Linked DNA regions of Rhinolophus ferrumequinum. The protein of the gene in region 2 interacts with the protein of the main gene of each other region in a pairwise test. Links are inferred from orthologs where the notes say so. Each region holds a gene or a part of one and is shown on either strand. Other genes may lie near its edges.

Evidence for each region. The genes of interacting proteins can lie anywhere in the genome.
Region 1: the proteins of KLC3 (region 2) and TSNAX interact in binary tests that used the Homo sapiens proteins (3 or more experiments, as listed by UniProt). The two-hybrid records come from large-scale screens. The link is inferred for Rhinolophus ferrumequinum from reciprocal best matches to the Homo sapiens genes KLC3 and TSNAX.
Region 3: the proteins of KLC3 (region 2) and CCNH interact in binary tests that used the Homo sapiens proteins (3 or more experiments, as listed by UniProt). The two-hybrid records come from large-scale screens. The link is inferred for Rhinolophus ferrumequinum from reciprocal best matches to the Homo sapiens genes KLC3 and CCNH.

Annotation. Positions count from the first base shown.
Region 1 is NC_046310.1:25,440,891-25,448,328, forward strand, and holds the start of TSNAX (translin-associated protein X), read right to left. Parts: upstream 3,277-7,438; 5' UTR 3,089-3,276; coding exon 3,073-3,088; intron 2,616-3,072; coding exon 2,511-2,615; intron 36-2,510; coding exon 1-35.
Region 2 is NC_046298.1:41,721,563-41,729,199, reverse strand, and holds the start of KLC3 (kinesin light chain 3), read right to left. Parts: upstream 3,146-7,637; 5' UTR 3,046-3,145; intron 660-3,045; exon of another isoform or gene 573-659; intron 276-572; 5' UTR 268-275; coding exon 10-267; intron 1-9. UniProt on the Homo sapiens protein: Kinesin is a microtubule-associated force-producing protein that may play a role in organelle transport. Plays a role during spermiogenesis in the development of the sperm tail midpiece and in the normal function of spermatozoa.
Region 3 is NC_046290.1:56,803,810-56,811,171, reverse strand, and holds the start of CCNH (cyclin-H), read left to right. Parts: upstream 1-4,086; 5' UTR 4,087-4,226; coding exon 4,227-4,343; intron 4,344-4,630; exon of another isoform or gene 4,631-4,804; intron 4,805-6,987; coding exon 6,988-7,110; intron 7,111-7,362. UniProt on the Homo sapiens protein: Regulates CDK7, the catalytic subunit of the CDK-activating kinase (CAK) enzymatic complex. CAK activates the cyclin-associated kinases CDK1, CDK2, CDK4 and CDK6 by threonine phosphorylation.

The sequences.
Region 1 (7,438 bases), on a different chromosome or scaffold from region 2:
TTTGTCATGTCTTGCATCAAGTTCCTGCTGAAATGCTAAGAATACATTATTATAACCATAAGCATGCATATTCTATAATTAACATCTATCAAACAACATTGTTACTATGCATGATAAAGCAACTATTATTTACTCTATAAAAATAATGAGGACAAAATCATCTTTTTTACTTCTAAAGTACTTGGAAATCAATGACTCTGCTAATAGCCAAAATATTCTTCCTTTAAATAGATGTGAACTGTATATGTTGTAAAAAGTATCTGGTCTATTAAACATGAGATTATCACAAAATTATCACATATAACTACTTTAAAAAATTATTTCCAACTACCTCCCTAAGTAACGTAAAGTTTTTTAAATTACTTTACCATATACAATATAAACATTCCCCAAAAAGAAACTAGAATTTAATTAAACGTTATAACTTTTGATAACATCAACTGTCTAAAGTTTCAAGCTCTAGTCATTGAAACACCTGTAAACCATTTAACTCTTCATAACCACTTTATTTCAGAAGCATTGTCACACCAAAGATGCCTGTCCCGTAAGGAGCACCCAACAGATGTATTTTGCATGAATTAAAAAAAAGAAAAACCCAGAACTTGAATAAACCAGTAACCAAATTAGTAGTTGACAAGGGCCTAAATACATCTGGTCTTTTATTATTGAGATAACAATTAGGCTATGAGTTTTGTCTAATAGTTCAAGACAACCATTTACTGATTATGAATATGTTAACGACCACTGTGAACTAATTACTATGAATACAAAGTTAAACAAGACAGTTCCTATCCTCAATGAGCTTAGTACAGTAGAAGGCAGACATATAAACAAAAAATAAAATGTGACCATGCTATTATAAATATATGTAAAAGGTTCAATAAAGCAGGAACCACATTTTTCTGGTTCACCACTAACACATGCTAGAATACAGTGGACGTTCAATAAACGTCTCATGACTGAATGAATGGATAATGAATGAACAAAATGTTTGTCACCAAGTTTCCTTGAGAGAAAAGTCAGAAAGGCTTCAAAGGGAAAAAGCGACTTGAGCTAGGTCTTGAACAAAACCACAGCAAACCAGAGGGACAATGGGGCACCAAGTTAGAAGGAATTCCAAGCTTAAAGAACTATGTGCGAAAAGGTAGGCAGAAGCATAAAACAGCAAAATCAGCTTGGAAACAAGCCGCTGTGCGTGTGTCAGAGCACAAGGGCGGGAATATCGGCCAGGCCCGCTGTCTTCCTCCAGCCACAGCACAGCGGGAGCCCTGTGCTCTGTCCTCAGTCACGACCAGTTCTCACACCTCTCAGGTGCTGTGGTGGCTCTACAGTATGTTCACAAGTTATTCCTCCCTTCAAAAGGTGGGACCTAGTTCCCTTCCCCTTAAATCAATGTAGCAAAAAGTGCATGATGTCTGAGATTGGGACATAAAGGGACTGTGGTTTCCTCCTTGCTGTGTGTGGGAAGCCCCATGCCATAACATGAGGACACTCAAGCAGCACTATGGAGGCTGGCTGTTGGCAGAAGCCCTCCCTTGTCAATAGCTGGGGACCCTCGGACTCCAATGCAGGCTTCGGATGACTGCGAGTTAGAACCAACAGCTAAGCCCCTCTCAGGTTCCAGAACCACGGAAACTATAAGGTATAGGATGGCGAACCAGAGGACGAAGAATTTTGTTTCATGTTTTGTTTTGAAATGTGGAACACCCTGACGAAGTTAATATACTGAGAAAAGGGGGGCCGTGCATACACATATATCTATGTCCATGTATGATTTACTAATAGATAGGAGTCCCACTCTGTGCAAAGTGCTAGTCAATACAAAAATATAGTCCATCTTCAAAAGTCTAGTTGAGGAAACACAACCAATACACGTTAAAAAAATGTTAAATGTATGTATAAACACACACCTGATACACGTGGTCATGTGCCACCTAATGACGTTTTGGTCAACAATGGACCTCACATACAATGGTGGTCCCCTAAGATTATAACGGTGCTAAAACTTTCCTATCACCTAGGGACTTCACTGCCTTCCTAACGTGGTAGCAATGCATTCCTCTCGTGTTAGTGGTGCTGCTGGTGTAAACAGACCTACTGTGCTGCCGGTCACACAACAGTCCAGCGCGTGCAATTACCGTAGGAGGCTGGACCTCTAGGTGTGTGTCCGCGCACTCTGTGTTCACAGAAGGATGAAATCACCTTACGAGCATTTCTCCAGGTCATTAAGCAGCACGCGTGACCGTGTGTGTGTTTATCTGTATGACATTTCATATTAAACAATGTTTACCTGTGCAACTGTAACGGGAAAAAAGGGCAAGACACTTGTACTCTTGAATTTCATGGCAGACCTAGCACCATCCAAAACCTCCAGGAAAAGTAAAATGTTCACATATGTACATCTTACATTCTTAGGCGTTATTTTTTCCTTGTGCACAACACTGGCTAAACAATCTTTGTTACAATCTCTTTCTCTTCCCTTCGCCAGCTTAACACTACAGAGAACTTACATTTGAAGGCCAACATCACAGGTGAAGATGAATTAACATCCTTCCCTTCTCTTCTCTGGTTATGTGGGAAATTGTCATGCTTCCTTTTCCTGAACCCTCCAGATCCTTACGTAGAGAAGGAGGAAAAAGTCGGATAGGGTTCCTCCATCACCAAGAGGCGACAAAACATAACGCAGGCAGGCAAACCCCTTCTTTCCGTTAATACCAGACGCCCACAGGGCCCTCGCTTTGGAGGCCTTCTCAGCCTGATGCAAAAGCCCCGCGTCTTCTCCCCAAACCTCCAGCTCCCTCCGCCAGGCCTCCCACCCACGCGCTCCCTGATCTGGCACAAGGTGGAGCAATTACTGAACTAACATTTGTAAAAAAACAGCTTGAGGACCCAGGAAAATGAGAAGTGTAAACAAAGCCAGTGTGGCCCGGAAAATCACCAGGGCCGCCGCCCCTCACCCCGAGCCTGCAAAGGGAGAGGGCATCCCTCGGTGAGAAGTGGGAAATCCGACCAAAAGGCTGGACATCCAATCCCCTCTGAATAAGTAACACCCAGCGCTCTTGAGAACGCCACCTTCTTTGTTGCTCATGTCGTCACGGCCAAAGGTGCGACGAGCCGCGACTCAGGGCCTTGGAGCCGGGGAAGTGCGCAAGGTGACGGCCGGAGAGCCTGCCGAGGCGCCTTTTCAGCCGGCCGACGTCGACGCACGGACGGAAGCGCGCGCCCGCAGCCACTCAAACCTCCGCCTTCGTCCTCGCACACTTCCGGCTTGTATCCCAGCCCCGCCGCCACTGACTCCGCCCCGAGCGTGGCCCGGGGACCTCGTGCCTACGTGCCTTCCTCTTGCCTGCCCTCTGCTATGCCTGAAGGCAGGAGCGACGCTACACGCTTCACTGCATGCGCTGCTAATAGATAAGGCGATGCTTCATCCTGGAGGGGATAGCGGTGTGAAGGTGGAAAAGCGGCGTTAAACGTAGGTGATTTTTTTTTTCTCAAGGCGCCTTTGGGATACCCTCGCGTTCCCTCAGTGTGGACCCAGGCTCCCGCGCGGTGTATACTGGGTGTTGTAGTTCGCCCGTGGAGCCGGCCATGCGGTGATGGAGGCTAGTCTCAGAGGAGGGGACCACCAACTACTGAGCTCTTATGGGAGAACCTGCTCAGGATCGGGGACGAACGTGACCGAGTTAGGAGTTTTTAACCTTTCCATTCCTGGCAGTGACTCCTGGCGCTAAAGTGATGGAAATATGCAAGTCAGTAAGTGGATGGCGTACCTAGCATTTTCTCTGAGAAGGTAAAAGACGCTCTTCTGTTGTCCTCCCCCACACCGCCCCTCTCCCTGTCTTTCGCTTTGTCCCCCCTCCTCCGTCCTCTATCACTTTACTCCTTTGTTCCTGGCTCTGTGGAGCCAGGCTGCCTGTGTTCAAACTCGTCTCCACCACTGAGTGGTTGTGTGACCTTGTGGAAGTAATTAATCTCTGGACCTCAGTCTCTTTATCTGTGAAATGGGGATAGAATAGTACCCGCCTCGCAGGATTACTTGAAGACTAAATGAGTTACTACTAAGGCGCATGGAAGAGTGTCTTTCACATAATAAATGCTCAGGTAAATATTATCTCGGATACTTTTCTCCCACCATCAATCTTAAAAAAAAAAATAGAGGTCAGTAATAATAATAACAGGCGTGGACCACCAAATCGTGAGCGTTCAATACGGGTGAAGCTGCCACGTCTTACTGGACTCTGTGCCCACCCCACCCCGATACTGCCTTAGCGCAGTGCCTTTGTACGCCTGCGTAAGCGCTTGTGGAAGAACGATGTCCCCATCATCAAGATGGGTAACTAAGGAGCAAGCCAGCGTCCTCTAGATACAAACTCTGGCTAAGGCTTAGTAAATTGGATGACCTAGGCCCAGTAGGGAAAACTCAAGTATGTTTTATTGCACTTTCTCAAAATAACCTCCATATTGTAGACACCTACTGTACACAGTTTTCCTCCTTGTTAATTTAGGAACAAAGGAACAGTAACTGAAATAGCTTGGCTAGAATAGGGCAGTCATTTCAACTCCCTGACACAAGTGTGTCATGGGAAGGTGTTCTGCTGTGAGTAATCTCTAGGGTCCTTTCCAACCCTGAAGCGAGAAGGTAACCACCCTTCATATCTTTGCATTCCTTTGAATGCATGCACTGATTAGCCAAATTCCTTGTGGATAAAATAGGCTACTGAGGACCTGGATTGAACTCTTGGTTTTTGAATGTTGGCAAATCATTTTCAGTTTGTGTGAGGTCTGACCCTGCTGTCATAATCCATCAGTACTCTCCCTACTCTTTGATTAGAGGTGACTGGACTATGAGGGGAAAAAAGGACAACTCTGATATAAATGTAATCACTGTAATGTGACTCCCTCTAGATCCAAGGGAGCCAGTAGTTATGAGCATTATTTTACCATAGTGTGGAAAAGGGTGTTTCTCCTGACTCTACTGGAAAAGCATTTCCCAAGACCTCAACTTTCCAAAACCTGGAACAGCCATATTTCATCTGCCACCACTCTTGTTCACTTTCTCAACTGCAGTTGTGTTATGTGAACTGCTTTTCACTGATTCCCATAAATGTAAAGATTACGATACTAAGTTTTATAACCTGTACTGACTTCTGCGTACTTAATGGAGGTGAATCCCAGAAACACTTCCCAGCACTTATTTGCATATGCTGCTACCCCAGGTGTCCCAACAGTAGCTACTCCTTTGTCAGAAAATACCTCTCAACCACTGGGACCACCTGCAAAAGGCATCTCTACCTTGACCATCTCCTTGTTTTATTGTTTCAGATGCACACACATAGTTTTGATATTTGGCAAAACATAGTTTTAGTTGTTAAAGAAAAACTACCACCCCAGATGGGAAGAAGAAACTAAAGATTTTCAGTAAGACCTTACTTCTGGAATGGGGCCTGTCATGCAGGGTGGCATGAGGGGTCTCTGGTCCCACTCCCCACACAAGAACGCAGGACATGGTGAGGCCAAACAGGAACACCCACGGAGCCATAGGTAGGGGAGTCATACCACTATACTGTCACTGGCAGCTGGGTTGGAGACACAGGAACCAGGAGCCACACAATTCTCAACCCTCACTGTGCCGCTTGCAGACTCAGCCCCCATCTTCTTGCTAGCCCCCCTTTTTTCTGCTAGCGTAGCCACGGCAGTTATATTAGTGCCCAATGGCTCACTGGTTACAGCTGACGGCCAACTAGCCACAGCTGATGGCCATTTAATCAGTCGATGGCCATTTACTCCCTGAGCCAGCACCTTTCTATGTGAGGCCGAGAGCCTGGAAACTGCTTTTTAGGGCTCTGTCCCCACACTCCACCCCTACAGGGTCTCGCCTCACAATCTACGCGACAAGCGTCTTCCGCGAGGAGCCCTGTGCGAGGAGCCTGGAGGTGAACGCTATTTCCTGGACACAGCCAAGCTCTCTGGTCACAGCCAGGTTTTCTCAGGGCACCACCAGTACTTCTGGGCACAGCCAGACTTCCTGGGCTTCTTAGGGTACCACCAGTCTCCCCGGACACAGTTAGGGCCTCTCAGGGCACTGCCACTCTCTCTGGACACAGCCAGACTTCCTGGACTCAGCCAGGGCTCTCAGGGCACTGCCACTCTCTCTGGGCTCAGCCAGACTTCCTGGACTCAGCCAGGGCTCTCAGGGCACTGCCACTCTCTCTGGGCCTCTCAGGGTACCGTGCTGGAACAACAGCGGCTCACAGTCAAGGTGCTTACATATTCGCAGTGGTGGCCAGTCAAGACACAAAAGCAAACATCCGCCAGTTCCACTACATGGTGGTAAAAGAGATCTAGACAGAAGGTGTTACTTTGGGCACCTTTGGTATATATATGGTAATTAAAGCCACCAGAATGAATGGAATCTAGGGAGGCTGTCATGCAGGAGACCCTGCTCGCTATGCCCTGTGTCATGCAGGGTGGCATGAGGGGTCTCTGGTCCCACTCCCCACACAAGAACGCAGGACATGGTGAGGCCAAACAGGAACACCCACGGAGCCATAGGTAGGGGAGTCATACCACTATACTGTCACTGGCAGCTGGGTTGGAGACACAGAACCAGTAGCAACACAATTCTCAACCCTCACTGTGCCGCTTGCAGGCTCAGCCACCATCTTCTTGCTAGCCCCCACTTGCTGCTAGTATAGCCACGGCAGTTATATTAGTGCCCAATGGCTCACTGGTTACAGCTGACGGCCAACTAGCCACAGCTGATGGCCATCTGATCAGTCGATGGCCATTTACTCCCTGAGCCAGCACCTTTCTATGTGAGGCCGAGAGCCTGGAAACTGCTTTTTGGGGCTCTGTCCCCACAGTGCCCTTTCCTCCTCCTATTGTTGCATTCCAGTTTCCCACATTTGAATGTTCTGAATGTTTCCCACATTGAAAGTTCTGAACCTTTCAAGTGCACCTGTTTTTATTCAGTTTATAAATCCTCATATTTGTCACCTTTACAGAGAAAAAAAAATCACATATCAAAATTGGTTTTGGGCATTGAAAAAAAATCACATAATCAAGTAAGAGAAGAGATATAGACCCTCAAAAGATTTCTGTGTCAGCGTTTATGTTATCATGTAGTTATTACATAAAATCTGGAGAGTGGGTTTGGTGTCAGGGGAAAGTATCATAATATTTTAAAGATAACCTGTAAGGTCTGAGTGGTTTTGTGAAGTGTACACATGCCAATTCACACATTTATATGATGTTCTGGTTCTTTCCTAGAGAAGGAAGCTGGTATTTGAGGGAGTGAAAAGGGATGGGCAAAACCACCATGGGATACCATGTCACATCCACTGGGGTATAATTTTAAAAAACAACAAAACAGTGTTAGTGAGGATATGGAGAAATAGGCACTCTCACACACTGTAGGTTTGTAAAATTTTGCAGCCAC
Region 2 (7,637 bases):
CTCTCATACCTGGGCCTCGCCTAGCCCTAGTTCGATGGCCTCCAGCGAATGGCTCACCACCTGCTGCTTTTCTTCCAATAGTTCCAAGCCAGCCACTGGACCCTGCCCTGCCAGGGCCTCCACCAGGTGCCCAGCCAGGTCATGGTGTTCTGTACGTAGGGCCTCCAGCCCCTGCACCACTTGTCGCGTCTGCCGCACCAGCTCCTCAGGATTCAGGCGCTCTGGGCCCAGCCCCACACTTCCGGGGGCTGCCACCTGCACAGACATTGCTGTTCCTGAGGGGCAGCGGGATTGGGGAATCACTGCCAAAGCCAGGCATGCCAGCCCTTCAGCCTCCACGCCATTCTGACCAGCAGGACTCCTAGTTACCTCCCTAGCCAGCCATCCCAGCCAGCCCTCTGCCTCCGTACCCTCCTCTTTCCAGCCAGCACCCTGTCTCACACCCATCCTGGCCAGCCCGCAACTGGGAACATTCTAATCTAGCTTTGCCTGTCCTCAGCCACGAGGGCAACTCCAAAACCCCAAAGATGACCAACCAAAAGAAGGCAAACAGCTGGCTTGTGGCTTCCTACCTGCCCCCAGCTCATGTGGCCAGCCCTCGCCACCCCAAGGGCCCTAGATACCCTGGCCCGGACCTCCTGGCTGTGTGACCTGGGACTGGAGGCAGCCTCCTCCGCTGGGTGTGTGGGGCGGGGCGTGTGGAGGCGGCAGCTTCTCGTGAGCTCACTCTTAGGGTGTTTTTGTTGAGAACCAGTCAGACCACTGGGGGTGGGGTGGGGCAGGAGGAGCAGCCGAGGGGCTGGGGTACCGGAAGCAGAGGAGGCCTCTAGATGGGGGGGTGGGGCTCAGGGCACCCTGTATGGGCTCTGGGGGCCTAAGGAGCTGACAGACCCTGAGGGATCAGGGGCTCCACCCTCTACTGCAGACAGGCTCAGCCCGCCCAAGGCGTGTTGGGACACACGTGTGGCAGGTGTGGCCCATGGATGTCACACTGGCCTCGTGACAACTGAGGGTCTGAGGCCCAGATTGTAATGGGTGGGGGGGTCTCACATGAAGGACTTCATGTGGCTTGTATGTGAGTGACAAAGTCAATGACACAGTTGGTGGTGGCTCAGGCCCTCATATACACACTTACACACATGCACACTCCCCTCTCAGAAATACAACTCAGTACACTCTTTCTCCTCTGAAAAATCAAACACATCACATACACTCACACACACACATTTTCCTTTCAAAATACAACCTAATGCAACACACTAATGCAGGCGCACACACATACACTCCCGTCTTAGAAATATAAACTGACACACAGATATATTTTCCTGTCAGAAATAAAAACCAACACATGCAGAAACGAACTCTCTGCCTCTCCTCCCTCACCCGCGAAAATATAACCAAGTCTCTCACATTCCGAGTGTCTCCTTGCACTTATGCCCATGACACATGCCTCTCCCACACTTCCGCAAGCAGCCCACTCTCCGTTGTATGCCTAGTACTTCCTCCGAGCACACACACACATTCCCAGGATTCGCTGTGGACCTGTCACCACCTTCCCCATGTCCTCCAACACCCCCCACCCCCTTGCAGGGCTGGCCAGGGATTTGTCCATCTGCACATGAGCACACGGATACACATATAGAGCTTCAAACATGGACGTGCAAATGGCCCCTGAACTCAGACTCAGTTATGCTGCCATAAGTGGGTGCCCAGGGCACAGACAGCTGTGGGGACATGCACACACCCTCTGAGGCATCTTCACTCTAGCAGCTCTGTCCACCATGAGCAGCCCAGCGGTTTCTGCACCTGCTTGCAAGTTCACAATCATATACGCTTAGACACACAGTAAGGGTAGCACATAATCCTGTGTGTTTTATAGATCGCCGGTTCTCATCACCCTCAACCTCTCTCTTTCTGTGTATGTGTTTGGGCATTTATCCATCTCTCTTTCTATATATGTGCGTGTGTATGTATGCCACACCATCCTTAGTCTCACACCTCACACACAAACCCCATAAACAGTCAAACACAATCACACAAGTTCAAGAGTCATCCTGACAATCACAAATCCTGCCGATTTATACAACCTCCCACAACCTCATGTACAATCTCAAATAACTGAGCTGAATGCTCCAGACACAGCCTCGCCTGCACCACCCACAGCCAACCACAGTAACAGTCACAGCGACACGCACAGCCACATAGAACTGGGGCTGTTTCCTCGACACACTAGCTCATACACTCGTACAGTCCTCCAAGCAGCTGACTCCCCTTCCCGTGCTCAGACCTGTCACACAACCACACAGCTGACAATGATGATCAGACACACCCCACACAACCATTCTGTTGCACACATTGCCCACCTCCCTGCCACCCCCCATATGACTGGCAGAAAGACAACCACAGCTATGCAACCTTAGTCACATTCATACCTAATCCTACAAAGAGTTCAACTCCCTCCCGTACACACAGAGCATTACAGACACACAATCAGAGGTCTCCCACATTTTCACATCACTGAAACAGCCCCACACCATTTCACACAGTCCCTGTGTGCCCTCCTAGGGTTACACAAACAGTCCATGTCCCCTTCACATCCATACTCACAGCCTGACACTATCTCGACATACACCTGAGCTTCATACACCATCACTAATACACACGCACCACACACTATATCCATACACTCGCAGGCAGGACGTCCCCATCATGGTCAGCCCGGCGTAGCACCCAACTTACCCCTGGCCGGCCTGCCCAGACCAGTGCACCCCTGCTTCCCAGCAGCGGTCACAGGGGGCCCCTCTCTCTCCCTAAGCCCCGCCCCCGCTCCTGTTTACCTGTGCACGGGGAGGGGGTGGGGCCCCAGCTGGGCCTCCAGAGTCGGGGGAGCCCCAGGGCTGGGGAGGGGGCATCCAGGGGCCCCCAGGCCTGTCCTCGTTGACAGGCCAGCGGGCCCAGGGGAGCGACAGGCCCAGCCTTCACCCTCCGCCCCCGTCCACATCCTCGCGACCCCCGGGACCCCCGCCCCACACTTCCGGCGCCCACCTGACTGCGGCCGGCTCCCAGACCCGCTCTGCTGTGCAGGGCCCTGCGGTCTCCCACACGCCGCTCTCGGCTGCGCCTAGCGTCTCGGGCCTGGGGTGGGTCCTCCCAGGGGCGGGGCGGCCTGGAGCCCTGCCCCCTGCAGGTGAGACCGGCCCCGCCCACCGCCCAGGGAAAGTTTAGCCCCACAGCGAAGGCCCAGTGGGAATAGCACCACCTCCGAGGAGGAGCCTGGAGCCTCCAGGGCACGTTGAACCTGAGGATGATTCCAGCGTGCTAGAGGCCTGGAAACGGGGACGTCGGCGAGCCAGCAACTTAAAAACTTGGAATCTTGGAAACTTTAGATGCCAGAACCATGGTCTTGCAGTGTCAGCTGCCAGGCCTTTGCCTTGGCTGTGCTCCTGCTTGAACCTCTCTTCCCACAGATCTCACCTTTTTTCTGGTCTCTTCTCATAGGCCGCTTCCTCCAAGAGGCCTTGCCTGACTGCCCCTTCTAAATCACACCCTCCCACCAAACCACTACCTCGTTCCCACTCTTGATTTGGTTCACAAAACTTTTCAGGGCCTACAATTATTTTACGTAACATTATATCACATTACAGTGGTACCTCGGTTTTCGAACATCTCCGCTGACGAACATTTTGGTTTATGAATGCCGTTAACCTGGAAGTAAATGCTTTGGTTTTCGAACACGACTCAGAAGTCGAACTTGTCACACGTCTTCCACTGAGTGCAAGATTCTGAGGTCTAGCTGTCGGCTGTTTTCGAACGTTTCAGAACTCGTGGATTACATTAGAAAACTGAGGTACGACTGTATTATGTTATGTTACATCACATTATTGACGCGGTAATGTAATGGCTAAAAATTGGGCTCTGGGTTCGAATAAGATCTCAGCACTTATTGGCTGTGCAGGCCTTGGGCAAGTAACGTAACCTCTCTGTGCCTCAGTTTTTCTAATCTGTAAAATGGGGAGAGTCAAAGGCTGTGAGGATTGAATGAGTTAATAAATGGATAGAAAGCATTTAGCAAATATTAACTACTGGTTGTATGACATGTTATTGGTTCTCTCCTCCTAGAATGTCAGCTCCTGAGAGCAGAGCTCTGTATGGTCAGCACTGCATCTTTAGCACTAGAATAGAACCTGGTACAAAGGAGTTTCTCAGTAAAGATTTTTTTGTTTGTTTTTTTAAATTAAAGTTTATTGGGGTGACAATTGTTAGTAAAGTTACATAGGTTTCAGGTGTACAATTCTGTAATACATCATCTATAAATCCCATTGTGTGCTCACCACCCGGAGTCAGTTCTCCTTCCATCACCATGTATTTGAGAGTTTTCTGAGTGACTGGATGACTGAGTCAAGACCTAGAAACGTAAACTGGCCAAAGCTGGGTGCACAGGATTCCAACATCACAGAATTTATTTAAAGAGGGCTTTTCCGGACCTCTGCCGTATCCTGGTCACTGCACTACAAGAAATTTCCAGCAGAGGGCACTGCTGATCCGTGAACCAGGCCCCAAATTCCAGCCCAGCTCCGCACCTGTTCTCCAAGCCCCAAGGCAAAGGCTCCCTCCTCTTGGAAGTTTTCTCTGCCCGATATCCCCAGGCTGGATGAGACGCTCCTTCCGAACTCCTGCAGGCTCCTGGGCTCCCACATCCCAGCCTTTCCCATTCTGAGTCATCATCTCCCACACTGGACTCACTATTGTGTCCCCAGTGCTACCCAACACAGGAGGAACCCCGAGAAAGCACTCGGGAGAGTGAGTGTTGATTGAATGATGGAAAATAAAACCTAAATTCACACTCTAACTTCTCCAGATTATTTTTAGGGAACAGAGTAGAGGAGGCAGCTGAACACCCTCCTTCCCAACTCCCAATTCTTTTGGCCTCAGGACACTGCGTGGTGGTTCTGCCATATGTTTACTAGGAGGCAGCCCAGGGACTAGAGAGGAGCCAGGCCGCCAAGGTGCAACTCCCTGCTCCGTCATTTGCTAGCTGTGTGACCCCTGAGCCAGGAACTAACCTCTCTGAGCCTCAGGTTCCTGGTCTGTAGCATGGGACTCACAAAGGTAACCTACTTTATGAGACTGTGGTGGGTATTAATGAATAATCCTCGTAAAAGGCTTAGCTCAGAGTAGCTCACGGTAAACACTATTAATGTGGCTGTGGGCCAAGGGAGGGAATTGGAGTCAAGTGGATCTGAGTTCAAATCCTGCTCTTGTCATTTCCTTTCCATGTGACCTGGGGCAACCAATGATTTTCTGAGGACCTATTTCCTCATCTATAAAACTGGAATGATCAAGCTCACCACATAGCATGCGTGGTGAGGATTAAATGAGACAAAGTCTGAAAGAAGAAAATGTTAACTAAGGTGGTCATTTCTTTAGGCCAGCCTTGTGCCAAGCACTTTTGCACACCAACGAGGACTGGAATGTCTGAATTCTTACCCAGGATGGGCCGGATGCCATGTCTTATAAATTAACCCTGTTAATCCTTACACCAACCTGCTGAGGTAGCTGATGATGTCCATTCCACAGGAGAAGATGAGGCACCGAGAGGTCAAGTGACTCATTCGATCACGCAGCCAAGGAGTAGCAGAGTCCCTGAATCCATACAGCCACCCTGAAACAGGCACTATGACTGGCCCCATCTAAAGAGGAGGAAACTGAGGCTCACAGAGGAAAAATCTCATGTCCAAGACCACAGCCAAGAAGTCACTCAACAAAACTTCCATCCTACCACTTAAGGCCTCAATTTGCCACGTCAGGAAAATGGGTGGATGGGTTGGGGGCTTTTCTATTTTCACCTTTGGCCATAATTTTTAAAAAGCTCCCCCTTTTTTAATTTACAAAGTAATGCACTGTCAGAAAAAAAAAATGTTCCCAAAGAACAAGACTATATAGTGAAAAGTAGGTCTTTGCCTCCCTTGATTCTCAGACACCCTTCCCAGAAGTAAACATGATTGCCAGTTTCTAATATCTTTCAGAGATATTCCATGGATATGAATTGCGTGTGGATGTATGAGCATCAGTGCCCATTTAAGAAAAACACAAATAAAAAAACCCCTCACCCATGGAGGTAGACTGACGGCCTTGACTTTGTGTGGTCATGTGACTTGCTTTGGCCAATGGCAGAGGAGCACAAGTGACAGTCGTGCCACTTCGGAGCTTAGGCCTTAAGAGGCTTTGACCATTTCCTTCTGTGTCCTGGCATAGGCCCGAGAAACACTCTCCCTGTATAGCGGCTCCCCATTCAGCCCACACCCCACAACATCTACATATTGTTGAAAGATAAACTGAGGCACATTCAAATTTTTAAGAGTTTATTTGAGCAAAAATCAATTTGAATTGGGCAGCATCCAATAGAACAGATAGAAAGGAGCTCCGAGGAGCTGTACAAAATGAAAGGCTTGTAGGCAGAAGGGAAATGGAACAAGGAAGTTATTCTAGGCAAACCAGCAGCTTGGTTATTGCAAGGTCACTTTCCCTTAGGAGACGGCAGGGGTCTATGAGGCAGATTACCTAACTAGTGCTGATTGGGCAATTCCTGATTGACAGGTTTAAGATTCCATGTCTGGGAGAGCTGAAACTGTCATTAAGTCTTGGTGACATGGGGCTTAGCATAAATCCATTTGGGGCCGGTTGTCTGGTTTTCAACAGTATGGAGCAGAGCTTCCCAGCTGAGCCCTGCTCAAATCAGCTAAACCCACATCCGTTTTAAAGCTAATGCATTTCGGGGTGGTGTGTCTCACAGCATTTTTGTGGCAATAGGTATATATGAGGTCAGACAATTAAGTTTGAGAACTTGTTGCAACAATGTTGCTAACCTTTTTTGATATCAGAGGGATTATTCATTATGAATTCGTACCAACTGGACAAACAGTTAACCAAGTTTACTATTTGGAAGTGCTAAAAAGCCTGCATGAAAAAGTTAGACAACAATTCATGGTTCTTGCATCACGACAATGCACCAGCTCACACGGCACTGTCTGTGAGGGGGTTTTTAGCCAGTAAACAAATAACTGTATTGGAACACCCACCTTACTCACCTGATCTGGCCCCCAATGACTTCTTTCTTTACCTGAAAATAAAGAAAATATTGAAAGGAAGACCTTTTGATGAGGTTCAGGCATTAAGAGTAACATGACGTATACTGGATCCTGTGTCTCCCCTGCTCACAACCCTCAGTGGCTTCCATCCCACTCAAAGTGATATGGAAACTCCTCCACAGCCCCCAGGGCCTGCAGGCTCTGCTCCTGTCCCCTCCTCAGCCTCATGTTCTTCCTTCCACTTTCCCCTCTACCCCATCTGCTCCAGCCCTGAAGCTTCCTCCCTTGTCTCAGATACGCCAAGCCACTCCCACCTCGGGGCCTTTGCACCTGCTGTTCCCCTTCCGGATTCCCCACATGGTTGGCTCTCTCCTCTCCCTCAAGTCTCTGCCCAGATGTCACCTCCCCAGACAGGCCTGACCTCACCTCCCCTGTTGTGCCATCACTTATCACTTACTCTCTTTCAATTTCCTTCAAAGCCCTGTTGTCCCAACATGACAGCATGTATTTACTTGTTCACTCACTCAAATGTCACCTCCATGAGGGCAG
Region 3 (7,362 bases), on a different chromosome or scaffold from region 2:
CCATTTTTATGTTCCCATCACCATCACCACCACCATCTAACAATTAGTACTAAGCCTTGAGTATAGTGGTGATTTAGTAAGATATGCTGAAATGGTCACGAATTTATAGAATTCACTCCTCACTATGTTGTCAAGTCTATTTACACCTTAATTTTAAATAGTCCTAAAACAAAAGAAAAAGTGTTTCAGTTTTGGGAGGTTACATTTAGATCAAGGATATTTTTTAAATGCTGTTTCTTTTTTTCTTTTCTTTTCCTTTAGTAGTACCCTGTTTTGGAGAAACTAGATATTTTCTCCTCTTAGTCCTAACTTGGTCACTGGGAAAAAACAAACAAACTAGAAAAGGATTTTAGAGGCAAGTGTATATATCAAATAGAACTGCAAAAGTCTTGTTTTTACATATCATTGCAAAGCTATATTTAGAATGTCAGAAACCCATGTCAGTAGCTGAAGGGGTACAGTTTCATGTCAGATTTTAAAGTAAGAAAGACATTGTATTTTTGTGAGCATGGATGTGGCTTTATTCCAAAACACCATTCTATTTTCCTTGTAGCCATGAAATCAGAAACTATGTGAATATGAGTATACTGATATGTTTGGAAAATAAAGACTATAAATTAATCAGGCCACTTAAAATATTTTATTAGACTGCAAAACTATTTCAAGTTGCACATATATTTATTGGTTACTCCCTCACCCTTCTTATTCCCTTTCTACCTTTACTCCTAAAATCAGGCAGTCTTATCTTTATTTTTCTAAAACATTAAGATCACTAGGGCAGAGCCTGAAGAAGGAATATTGTCCTAAAGGAAGAGAGAAATTTATGTTTTCTACACTGGAGTAAACTTTCATTTTTTAAATTAAATTTATTAGAGTGACATTGATTAGTAAAATTTTATAGGTTTCAAGTGTACATTTCTATACTACATCATCCATATACTGCATTGTGTGGTCACCACCCAGAATCAGTTCTCCTTATATTTTACCCTCTTTACCTCATCTACCACCCCCCTTCCCCTTTATCCTCTGGGAACCACTAAACTGTTGTCAGTGTCCATGAGTTTTTGTTTCTTTGTTTGTTTGTCTTGTTAGTTTTTTGCTTTCAGTGTTATGTACCACATATGAGTGAAGTCATATGGTTCTCGACTTTTTCTGTCTGAATTATTTCACTTAACATGATAAATTCAAGAGAGAGGAATTCTTAATACTCTCATGGGAAGCTTTGGCATGGTATATGGATAAGTATAGTGCTTCTGGGGTGATCAACAGATGACCTCTGCTTTGCATCGCTTGATCTGATTGGCAACCTCTGGTTTTGACGTAATGTCTGCAATTAAAAATACTTAGTTTGTTATAAAAATACATACTGCAACACAATTTAACAACTGCAGTACACTAAAAGATTGTGTTTATTTAAAAGAAGGCACTGTAATCATGCCTATTAGTTAACATTCACTTCTGGGTAAAGCCCAATGAATTAGTACTATCTTTGTTTTCAAATTTTGAATGTTTGTACTGCTCTTCTAGGAAGTATAGATTCTGTCTATTTTGTTTTTTATTGTTTGAAACATCTCCATCTAGCAGCAGAGATTGTGATTTAAAAGTCATGGGGACGTCGGGGAGTGGAGGATAATTATTGAAATACATTTTTCTCTATTCTCAATGTTTGAATTTTTTTATAAACACGTAAGAGTGGAGAGAAACACTTGCTACTTTTTAGTTGGAACTAGAAATGGAAATAGGTAAAGGCACCATGTTCTAAGTCCAAGTTCTAAGTCTGCCTTCCGGTTGAAATAGTACAAGAAATAAACATGCTCAACAAGCTGAACAGGGGAATGTCATTCAGGCAGACTGACTGGTGCAGCATCCAGCCTGGCTCACCTTAAGAAAAAGAAATCATATATGAGTCCTAATATTAGGGCATCAGCAACAACTTTATTTTGTCCATGGTTAATTTAGGTACAATTTCTTCTACATTCCAAAAGCATGGTCAAGGTTAATTTTCATAGACTAAAATTTTTTAAAGATTTTATAAAATAGTTACACCAGAAACACCAGGTTTTTCATATTTGTCTTCCTAAATGAATTATGACATTCAGCAGTTATACTCTTATCCCTGTGGTAATCATTTTCTGCCACCTCTCCCAAATGCCCCTTTTTATTTCCCTTTACATGAAACTGAAGTAGTTGTCAAATGCCTCTCAGAAAAACAAAATAAAAAGAATTGACATGGTATATAGAATTGACAGGGGTCTAAGACTTTATTCATTTATCTAAATCATTTCCTTTCCTGCCTACCTTTCATTTTCTCCTTTTAAATTATTCTTCGTTATACAATCATTTATGGTGCTCACAATCCACTGGAGTCATAACTTGCCATGTCCCTCCTTAACATTAAGTTGATGTAAGCGAAGCCATTTTAAAATAGAGCTATTATAGCCACTCCAAGGAACTGCCTTGCATGTGTTTTCCTCAAACATTTGGAATGGGAAAAATAATCCTTGGACTGGGCAAAGCCAACATTGTATTCCAAACAGTTTGTAAAAATAACAAGTAAGCAGACATTCTGACTACAAGGACTGAAAATTAAGGGCAGTCTGTAGAATTAGCACAACCATGTATAGCTAAAAATTAGCTTACTAACATCAACAGAAATTCCTTTCTTCTATTCATGTAATTATTTCCCTTCCCTTTCTCATAAAACCCCTGCCTTCCCCCCAAAATCAGAACACTTTCTGAGTTTCTGCCTGAATCACTGCTTTCCTAATAGCTATTCTTTGATCTCAAAAAAATGCTTGTTGCCTTTCACTTTGGCTTTTTATTTCCCAGGTTAACAACCTCATATTTTTTTCTTTCTCTTTTTCTCTTTTCTCTTAGCCAATTTAACTAGTCTGAATTACTGACACATGTTCAAGGAGTGCCTGGATCTCCAGAGTTATAAACTACAAATGATGTAAGTTTGTGCAATTCAAATAACTCTGGCAAAGTCTACTTACCCTCAACTGTACTCGCCAAAATGAAACAAAAAAGAAGAAAAAGCTCTCCCTTTCTTAAGCAGCTAAAAACATTTTCACAGAAAGCAGAGTTAGAGATATCCTATCACCTATTTTTAACTGTGTGGTCTTTTGAATATCTGAACTCTTTGTGTCTCATCTTCATTACCTGATTTTTTATCTGTTGGTGTTTAGAAAAATGATTTGCTGTAGGTAAATCTATCTAACCCAATGTATGATGCATAGGAGAACGTGGTGTGCTTAAATGGGACAGATATCAAAACTAGTAAAGGCTTTTGGAATTCATGTAAATTCTGTATCTCAAATGCAATTTTGAAAGTATTAGTAACAAAAAAATTGTGAATCTTTTAAGTATTAACAGATAGTTTATTGCAAGTTTCCCTTGGGGCAATAATGAAGATGAGGATTTCAAGAAAATCCTAAAACTACCATACGTCATGGCCTCGGAGATGGAAATGGGGGAAAGGATTGGCAGAATCCAATCCAATTGAGCAGAAGAGGAAAGGAAAAGGCACAGAAAAAGATAGGGTCACATTATTGGCAGAGCAATAAAGAACAATACACATGCACTGCTTCTAGTTTTCCAACCATGTTCTGTTATCTCTGAGGCAGAGATTTTTGGTAGTGCTCCAGACACATTCTTTCTTCAAAGAGCCAGGAATACTTCTGCCTTAGGGCCTTCACTGTTCTTTTTGCCCCAGCATCACTCCCACGTGACTGATATGCCTAATCCCTCAACTCTTTCAAGTCTTTATTCCATGTCACCTTCTTAGTGTAGCCTACTCTGAATATCCTATTTAAAAAAGGTGACACCCTCCTAAGTCCTTGCCCCCTCTTCTGATTACCCCGTGTGAATTATGTTAGCCTGCACATACCCTCAATTTACATTCCTTTGGCCATCTCAGCCTGTCACTTCTCCTTTAAGCTTTGTAGGAAAGGGGCGGAGCTAGAGCCAGGGCTCGCAGAAAGGCGGAGCATATCCGTACGCTCCGGCCACTTAGGGAGCAGGCGGCGGCTAAATCAGCGCTAGAGAGGTTCTCCGCTCCGGAAACGCGATCGCCGACGAAGTCACCACGTGATTGTGACGTCAGCGCACCCGCGCCTGACGGCCTGACGCCCTGCGCTGTCGTGGTTTAGCTGCTTTACACCACGGTGTGGTGGCGTTTGGGGTCTTTTTCTCCAGACTTCCTGGGCCTGGTCTCGGACTTAAGGATGTACCACAACAGTAGCCAGAAGCGGCACTGGACTTTCGCCAGTGAGGAGCAGCTGGCACGATTGCGGGCTGACGCCAACCGCAAATTCAAATGCAAAGCGGTGGCGAACGGGAAGGTGAGGACACGGGTGGCCGCCCCGCTGCCCGGACCTCCTAACTCTTGAACAACTGCGGGATCTAGTGCCCCCGCCCCCGGGGCTCTCTGGACACCTCCCCTTCTCCTCCCTCCGGAGCGCACGTTCATTTGTTTAATAAACAGGCGAACACCTTGTCAGGTGCTGTGGGTACAGAGGCGGACAACACCATTTCCGTAGTTGAGTGGCAGGCAAATAACCAGTAATATGGCGTAGGAGACTTTGTAGGATGTCCGTGTAGTGCGGAACCAGAGCCGTTCACTTGTCAAAAGGAGACCTCCGGGAGGGCTTTTCCCAGTAGCTGATGCGAAGCAAATGGGGAAAGAACATTCCCGGAGGACGGAACCACAGGTGCAAAGTGGGAAGTTGTAGGGCGGGTTCCTGGAATGCTCTAGATCGTTTGTAGTGGTAGCAGAGCACCTGTGCAAGACAGGCTGGAAAAGGTAGGCGGGGAGCTTGTAAGCGAAAGTAAGGAATTTGAACTTGATGAAGGGATGGGGAACCTTTGAAAGATTTTAAATGGGAAATTAACTTTACAGATGCTGTTCTAGAAAGAGCCCTCTGGCATCCTGGTGGTGAATGGATTGGATGGGGCAGGGTGGGGGCGGGGAGACAAGACACCGTTTGCACAAACCAGTTGATTGAAGATGGTTTGGATTATGGCCTGCCCGCCAAGTTCTCCCTGTTACAGCTACCAACCACCTTTCCCTCACAAGCTCCAACACCCATCCTAGTAACTGCAAGCTTCCCTCCAGCAAGTATTCCATGTCTAAGATTGTTGGGACTGAGGTACTGTACTTTTAAGTCACAGCTATTTCATATCACTTTATTTTTGTGCTGCATGCCAGGCACTATTCTAAGCATTTGGCAAGTGTTAGATCTTTTAATTTTCACAGCTACTGAGGTAAAGACTGTTATTATCCTCACTTCCTAGCTGAAGAAACAGGTACAGAGAGCAATAACTAATCAAGGCTACATTGGTAGTAAGTGGCAGAGACAGGATTTGAACCCAAGGAAGGAATCTAGTTCCAGCATTCCTGCTCTAAACCGCAATGCCATATTGTCTATAAAATTAGCACCTGTGTTAGTTTCCTAGGGCTGCCATAAAAATACTACCACAAACTGTGGTGTAAAACAAGAGAAATGTATTTTTTCACAGTTCTGGAGGCTAGTGAGATCAAGGTTGGCAGGTAGTTGCTCTCTGAAGCTTGTAGGGGTGGATCCTTCCTTTCCTCATACAGCTTCTAGGAACCCCAGGTGTTCCTTTAATTGTGGCAGCATAACTCCAATCTCTACCTCCATCTTTACATAGTGTTCTTCCTGTGTTTCTGTATCTTCACATGTTCTTATACGGATACTAGTCATATTGGATTAGGAACCAACTCTACTCTAGTACATCTGATTACATCTACAGTGTGGGGACAGAGTCCCAGAGAGCAGTTTCCAGGCTCTCGGCCTCACGTGGAAAGGTGCTGGCTCGGGTTGTAGATGGCCGTCAGCTGTGACTAGTTGGCCATCAGCTGTTATCAGTTAGCCAATTAGCCACTGATATAACTGCTGTGGCTAGGTTGGTTCGTTGGTTGGCAGGCAGAAAAGTGGACGGCGGATTGTGGATTGTGTGGATCCTACTTCGTGAGTCTCGCCTGGCTGCCAGAGAGACTGGGGTGCAGGGAGTCCCTTTGTTGGGGTACTGGCGGATGTTTGCTCCCTGTGTCTCCAACCCAGCCGCCAGAGAGAATATAGTGGTATGACTCCCCTATCTATGGCTCCATGGATGTTACTTTTTGGCCTCACGTTTTTTTGTGGGGAGCAGGACCAGAGACCCTGCATGACACCCCACGTGACAGACCGTATTTCCAAATAAGGTCACATTCTGAGGTCACATACAAACATACCTCATTTTATTGAACTTGGCTTTATTGTGCTTCACAGATGTGTTTGTTTTTTTTCTTCACTAACTGAAGGCAAACCCTCCACCAGCAAAATGATCACTATTTGCTTTATTGTGGAGGTCTGGTAACTGAACCTACATTATTTCTGAGGTGTGCCTCTACTGGGGGTTTAGGACATCAATATATCCTATTTTGGTAATTGTAATTAAACTAGTAACAGCATCTAATGGATATTTTTTGTAAAGTTGTATTTATTAACCATCTAGAATGCATTCTGTAGAGAATTTACAAAGGTGGATAAGAAGTAATGTTTTCAGGGTCAGAATTATCCTTGCAATACTTGTTGATTCTTACCTCAACCTGTGTGACTTAATAACTGACTGAGAAAGAAGTCTTGAAAACTTTCCAAATATGAACCACGTATATCTTCTTTTTGATTTCTAAATAATGACATCAAACCTGTAAGCATAGGCATACATTCCATCATGATTGCTTATACCTTAATGAAGCAAATACCCAATTGACATTCTGAGAAATTGTGAAATTATGGTATAATTTTAGGTTATTAAATTTTTTCCTAAAGCCATTTTGTGTAATAATGAACAATTCTATAAAGTGGAAATGAGTTGTGGTATATTTCCCTTTGGCTGGAGATATTAATAGAAACTAATCTGGACAGAAAAATATTTTAAGATTCAATTGACTGAACTTTTGGTGTAACTTTTAATCTAAAGGTTCTTCACAATGATCCAGTCTTTCTTGAGCCTCATGAAGAAATGACACTCTGCAAATACTATGAGAAAAGATTATTGGAATTTTGTTCAGTGTTTAAACCAGCAATGCCAAGGTCTGTTGTGGTAAGTTATGGTAGTGATGGAGTATAATGTCCTTTAACTGACTTCTGAAATCTGACCTCTTCCAAGTTAGTAACTCAGTCCTCTATCCACTTTATTAAAAATGAATGTGGGGACGGAGTCCCAGACAGCAGTTTCCAGGCTCTCGGCCTCACGTGGAAAGGTGCTGGCTCGGGTAGTAAGATGGCCATCAGCTGTAATCAGATTGCCATTCGCTGTGGCTGGGTGGCCATCAGCTGTTACCGGTTAGCTATT